2 linked regions of the Canis lupus familiaris genome follow. The protein of the gene in region 1 interacts with the protein of each later gene in a biochemical or structural test. Links are inferred from orthologs where the notes say so. Each region holds a gene or a part of one and is shown in the gene's direction. Other genes may lie near its edges.

Region 1 (3,517 bases):
TTTTTGTGTGTGTGTGTGTGTTTTTGTTATTTTTTTTTGTTTTTTGTTTTTTTGTTAATGAAGTCTTACACCCCTACCTCCCCTATCCCAGATGTCCCTCATCTGTGTTTCCAGAATATTCTAGGCATCTTGCATTGCACAACCAAGTTGTTTTTAAATCATCTGTTTAGGTTAGTGTTTACTTTTTTATAGGAAGAGCTGGTCATACTCATGTTAGTGCCTAAAAGGATACCTGGCTCATATTGAGTGTTCAAATTTTGGTTGAATGACTGATGAGCTGGAAAGTTAAAGTGCCTTTTCCAAGATCATGTTGCTCATAGATGACAAAATTAAGATTGGGAAACAAAGTGCCTCTTTTATTGCCTCGTGTTACAGATCAGTACTCCTTCTAGTACATTATGTAAAAGTAGATAAGAACAACACTTACTGTGCAATACTGAATAAGTCACTTTTAGCTTGGTAATGATTGAGATGATTAAATTATCCTTTGTGAATCATCAAAATTTTACCTACTGTATGGGAGTCTGTTTCTGGTTACATCGATAGTTTTGCATGAAATTTAATATTTGCAAAGAGGTAAAACAGTGCAAGTGGACTCAAAAGTAATTTAGAAAAATCAAAATGGCCTTTTGTGACTCTTAGAGGTCAGTAGAATTTTTAAATATATACTGTGACAAATTCCAGGCATACTGAATAAAAGGTTGTGTGTGCTTTAGTTTAGAATATCAAAAGATAGGAATGGTGGCGTTTCAAGAATTTCCATTGTAGGAAAGACTCAATAAATATTTGAATCTAACTTGCAGATGGAAGTTATGCCATATAGTGATTTTTGTACCTTCAGGTTCTTCCATTTTCTGTAGCATATTACAGAAATCAGTCAGAGTTTAGAAACTAAGACCTATGTGTCAGTTTATTGAAAAATAGAGAAATATATTTCAATGGGAGTGTATTTCCAATTTCAGAAGTTTTTTAAGAAGCAGTTGTTTTAAATCTTCACTCATGGAATATAAGAAACAACACAAATGAACAAACAAAAAAGACAGGCAAAAGACCAGACTCTTAAATATAGAGAATAAACTGGAGGTTACCAAAGGGGAAGTGGTTGAGGGGGGTGAAATAGGTGATGGGGATTGAAGAGTGCACTTGTGATGAGCACCAGGTGATGCATGGGATTGTTGAATCACTGTATTGTACACCTGAAACTAATAACACTGTCTTTTAATTATACTTGAATAAAAAAAATCAAAAAGTGAAGCATCAGAAAAAGAAAAAGGGTCAGAGCTGAAATATTCCTCAGTATCATCCAAAATGCTGTGTGTGTGAGAATTTCCTCAGTCATTTCAAAAAAGTCTCTATAGTTGATATGTTGAAACAGGATCCAAACAATATCCATTGTTTGGTTGGTATGTCCTGAGTCTCTTTATAACAGTCTCCTCTCCCTTTGTTCCCCTCATGCCTTTTAATATTGGAAAAAATAATTTGTGCTGTTCATTTTCTTAATATGTTGCAAAGTCGGTGAAAGTAGGAACTTATTTTAGCACCAGAAGTTGTGCCTGGCACCTAGTAGACACTTGACTAATATTTGTTGAATAATGTTAGTAATACTCAAGACCCATATTTTGTCCTTGCAGGTTGATCCAAAAGACTATATGTTCAGTGGACTGAAGGATGAAACAGTGGGTCGCCTACCTGGCCAAGTGGCAGGACAACAGTTTCTCATTCAGGACTGTGAGAACTGTAACATCTACATTTTTGATCACTCTGCTACCATCACTATCGACGACTGTACTAACTGTGTAATTTTCCTGGGACCTGTGAAAGGCAGTGTGTTTTTCCGGAATTGCAGAGATTGCAAGTGCACATTAGCCTGCCAACAGTTTCGTGTGAGGGACTGTAGAAAGCTGGAAGTCTTTTTGTGCTGTGCCACTCAACCCATTATTGAGTCTTCCACAAACATCAAGTTTGGCTGTTTCCAATGGTACTACCCTGAATTAGCATTCCAGTTCAAAGATGCGGCATTAAGTATCTTCAATAATACTTGGAGCAACATTCATGACTTTACACCTGTGTCAGGAGAACTCAACTGGAGTCTTCTTCCAGAAGATACTGTAGTTCAAGACCATGTTCCCCTACCTACCACTGAAGAGCTCAAAGCTGTCCGCGTTTCCACAGAAGCCAATAGAAGTATCGTTCCAGTATCTCGGGGTCAGAGACAGAAGAGCAGTGATGAATCATGCTTAGTGGTATTATTTGCTGGTGATTATACTATCGCAAATGCCAGAAAACTAATTGATGAGGTAAGGAGAGAGAGAGGAAAAACAGACACATACCTAGGTAGAAACACACCACACTTCCTGGAGAACTTCCATTCTTTTCAAACTGGCTATTAGAAATGCAGGCAATCCTTAAGTTATAGTCCTCTGCCCCCTGCAGATTTATCTATAAGCTGATTGCTTAGGCCTCAAAAGACTTTTCAAAGAAACTTTAAAAAATATCATTCAATTCAGTAAGCATTTATTAAACATTTACTATGTGAAGAGTTATTTCTATTACCCTATTTCATTGATTATAGAATGTACATTTGTTCTCCACATTTTTGCTTATCCAAAATGCATCTTACGGGATCCCTGGGTGGCGCAGCGGTTTGGCGCCTGCCTTTGGCCCAGGGCGCGATCCTGGAGACCCGGGATCGAATCCCACATCAGGCTCCCGGTACATGGAGCCTGCTTCTCCCTCTGCCTGTGTCTCTGCCTCTCTCTCTCTCTCTGTGACTATCATAAATAAAAAAAATAAAAAAAAAATTAAAAAACAAAATGCATCTTACAATTGATGGCAACTTAAAACTGATCAACTAGAGTATATGCTGGAGATGGAGACACATAAGCAAAATTCTCTACCCTCAGATAATTTCCATTCTTTATAATAAATGATTTCCATGGAAGTTTACAAAGGTAGTACTGCATACTAAAGCACAATCTTATTTAGTTGGGAATATTTATTTGGGTTTTAATTGGTTGGAGGGGGGAGTAAGAAAGACATTTAGGAGAACAACTTTTGGCCACTGGGGTGACTATGAGAACCACCTTGATATTTTTTCTTTGCCCTGTTGCTATGCAAAGGGGAGGTTGGTGTGTAAGAAGGAGGTGGGAGCTGGGTTAGGAAAGGTTGTGGGCTCAGGAGCAGGGACTCAGTGAGTTTGGGAAAAGAGTTCTTCTATTGGTAGCAGCTTTCACTTGAAAAATAACCTGGGGATGTAGAGATTAGGGGCTGCAGAAGCAGCAGTTCCTAGTGTTGGTGGGTGTGCTCCAGTGGGGAGGTAGCAGTGGCATGTATTGATTACCCCGTTAGTCAGATGTTCCTCAGAAGGAGTCCTCAAATTTAAAAATCAAAGTTCCAAAAATGAAGAAGTGAATGGGGAATTCATCAAGTCTCCTTTTTTTAATGGATTTTTTCAAAATTGTAACAGTTCTGTTGAAGATTATGGAGGGGGAAAAAACTAAATGACCTTCTCTCTGTA
Region 2 (3,517 bases), on another chromosome or scaffold:
GGAGAAGCAGGCTCCATACACTGGGAGCCCGACGTGGGATTCGATCCCGGGTCTACCAGGATCGCGCCCTGGGCCAAAGGCAGGCACCAAACCGCTGCGCCACCCAGGGATCCCAATAAATAATATTTTTAAAAGGCCAACAAAATTATATCTATAATTTTCTTTTTTAATTATGAAGAAAAACTAGAAGGGAACTTTCACAAGAAATTAAAATAATAAATGTATTTGGGTTCTATAACTATAGATAATTTTTCTCTTTTGGTCTTCTTTCATTTCCCTTATTGTTATTTACGCAATTAATAAAATTCAGTGATGGGAGATAAAGCTTGAGATTTATAATTTACGGTGACTCTTAAGACTTCTCTTAGGTCTGGCAAAGCCTATGCCCTTTCTATTCCCAATACTTGATCTTAACCTCTCAGCAAGCCTGAGAAGGTGGGAATGAAATGGAGATCAGTGGGTCTCCTCCCTTGGCACCTGAAATCAGTGTATAGTTAAGACTGCAGAATGTACTTTCAGAGCCATGATGTTCCAGGACTGTGGTATTTGTAAATGCCTCAAAAAACTATCCCTTCCTGACAATGTGGACTTTACTGTCAGGTGGGCCTGAGTTTAAATTCCAGTCTTGTTAGAACTTGGGCATTGGGCAGCCTGGGTGGCTCAGCAGTTTAGTGCCACCTTTGGCCCGGGGCGTGATCCTGGAGACCCAGTCCTGCATAGGGCTCCCTGCATGAAGCCTGCTTCTCCTTCTGCCTGTGTCTCTGCTTCTCTCTCTCTATGTGGGTCTCTCATGAATGAATAAATAAATAAATAAATAAATAAATAAATAAATAAATAAATAAATAAATCTTTAAAAAAAAAAGGACTTGGGCATAATACTTAACTTCTTTAGGCTTTTGTTTATCTACATATAAAATGGGAAGATAATGAAATCTATCTCATAGAATTGTAACAAGGATTGATAGGGTAAATCTAAACAAGAATTTTTAGTGAATGTATAATAAATGTACCTATTTTTATCCTGCTTGGCTCTCCTGACATCTACTTTGAAGCTTTGTTTGGCATATTTTCTGGGTATCCGTATTTAATCAATCAGTTAATTAATTAATTAGTTTATTTGGCATCCATAGATGAGGTAAGACTTTTCAGCCAGTTTCCGTTTGCTGTGGTAATGAGAAATCTGACTGAGGATCCTCTGCTCCTTCTCCAGAAGGTACCCTGTCTTTTTCCATTTCTGCTTATTGAAGTAACCTTCTTTTACTTCACAGATATATGTCATTGACAGTGCAGACAGAAAAAGATTTGAAGAGACGGGTCAGGTAAATAATTCTTCTGTTGAGATATTTTCCAAATAACTAGGTATTCATTAATCTACCTTGTAAACGTATGAGAGCGAGGGAGGTATTTTTTGTTTAACCTTTGCAGTTTAAACAACGCAGTCATTCTGGCAAGCAAGCAAAAATACCAGTTACCAAAAAAAAGTTGCGTGAAAGGAAATTAGTTGAAAGTCCCTTAAACTATTTTTTAATGATAGCCTTTTAGTTTTAGTCAAATTAAATAAATACAATAGAAATAAATGGAACTTACCCCCATGCCCAAAAGCTCTTCAGGGTTATTCCCAGGCCACTTAGAAATGAACCCAGAGGAACAATTCACTTGTCATTTCTACGTACATTTTTCAATACCAGCTTAATTGATCCAAGGGTACCTCTGACAAATTTGTGAAGGGATGGGAAGAAATATGTAAGCCAAGACTAAGCTCCTCTTGTTTCCAATCAAGAGGTAGATATACTTTGAACCCAAATGTGCCTTAAAATGCAAAGTACATGTCAACATGATTACATGGTGAGATTTGTGTACACAATTTTAAATAGAGAAGCAGTGGGCATAGACCATTTTACCCAGATGGAGTATACTGATAAGAAGCAAAGAGTAGAATGACCTCTTTAGGAAAGTGTGCAGAGTCCTTGGCCTATATCCTAAACTATCACAGGTGGCCTTCCAAAAGTAGCATTCCCCGTGTTTATGTTCCTTTTTCCTAAAAATTAGTTTGGGAACTCTTTTCCATACCTTGATGATTTCTATATCATCACTCATGTGAATCAATGCTAAACATGACCTTAGAGGTAAAAAAGTTATAAAATGATCTGTCTCTTGAACTATCCAATTCCCTTTGACAGCCCAAGTGTCCTAAGTAGCTAAAATGAGAGTTTAATAGGGAAGAGGTAGGTCCTTTCAGGTAAATACACACCATCTCCTATGCTTATTGCAGACAGAATCAACATACAATTAAGACCCCAACCAATAACCAAAATATCAGACATACTGCCAGGTGGACTAAGATAATTATTCTAGGATGTGAGTTTGATGAAGTGCAGTGCACATGCATTCTTGCTTTGAAAGTAAGATTAATGAAGCAGAATTATAAACTCTAAAGTCATTGTCATTTCTAGTTTAAAAATGTGTGTGTGCATTGAAAGTCATTTGTAGATAGCAATCCTAAATTTTAAATATCTATCTACAACTTGTTTTCTCCTTTGACCAGTGTTTCTCAATGATCTCTGAATCCATAGCAGAGCCACCTGTGGAAATGCAGATTCTTAGGTCCTATCTCAGACTTTCCAAAGTCAGCATCTCTGGGATGGGCCCAGGAATCTGCCGGGAAATTCTTCCATAGGCTCAAGTTTGAGAACCATTGCCCTTGGAAGTTGTTAGTTGATTAACTTAACACTTCTGTTTTTTGTTTTTTGTTTTTCTAATTAAAAGTACATGGTTAAATATCATAGATTTCATCCTTCCCTTCCCATCCATTCCCAAAATGATCCAGGAACTAGCTGAATTACTGGAGGAAGAAAAACTAAGTTGTGTGCCAGTGCTCATCTTTGCTAACAAGCAGGATTTGCTCACGGCAGCCCCTGCCTCTGAAATTGCAGAAGGACTGAACCTGCACACCATCCGCGACCGTGTCTGGCAGATCCAGTCCTGCTCAGCTCTCACAGGAGAGGGCGTTCAGGTGAGATTACCAGAAGGCTCGGTTACCTGGCAACATGGTGCCCAACCAACGTAGTCTGTCTTATTGGTTGAACTGAGCTAGATAGAAAGAAGATATAAAACAAATAGCCTTTGATTGGCAGATGAACCACTCCAGGATGTGAAGGGCATGGAGGAGTTCGGTTCTTTTTTACTTAGCAACCAATCTGATAATCATTAACTGTTGCAGGAAAGCCATAGATAAACCACCCCACTTGAGGGACAAACTACCCCATTGGGTAGGAGGTCAGAACAGAAGATCTTCGAAGATGCTTTCTAACTAGGATTCTTTGATCATTGGGTTGGGGGTTTTGTGTTGTGTCTAATATTATGGATGCTAAATGCTTGTGCTCCCAAGGTAACAGCCATCAACAATCATGCATACCAGTTACCCTAGAAGGGTTTTGATTTTTCTCTTGGCTAACTCCACTGCCCTCAGGGCTGGTGTCTCTCCTGCTACTTCAGGTTGGTTTCCCACAGGGAGGCT

Evidence for each region. The genes of interacting proteins can lie anywhere in the genome.
Region 2: the proteins of RP2 (region 1) and ARL3 form a complex in vitro, tested with the Homo sapiens proteins (2 studies listed by BioGRID). The link is inferred for Canis lupus familiaris from reciprocal best matches to the Homo sapiens genes RP2 and ARL3.

The regions. Positions count from the first base shown.
Region 1 is NC_049260.1:40,692,503-40,696,019, forward strand, and holds part of RP2 (protein XRP2), read left to right. Parts: intron 1-1,631; coding exon 1,632-2,297; intron 2,298-3,517. UniProt on the Homo sapiens protein: Acts as a GTPase-activating protein (GAP) involved in trafficking between the Golgi and the ciliary membrane.
Region 2 is NC_049249.1:15,351,585-15,355,101, reverse strand, and holds part of ARL3 (ADP-ribosylation factor-like protein 3), read left to right. Parts: intron 1-1,268; coding exon 1,269-1,319; intron 1,320-2,827; coding exon 2,828-3,013; intron 3,014-3,517. UniProt on the Homo sapiens protein: Small GTP-binding protein which cycles between an inactive GDP-bound and an active GTP-bound form, and the rate of cycling is regulated by guanine nucleotide exchange factors (GEF) and GTPase-activating proteins (GAP).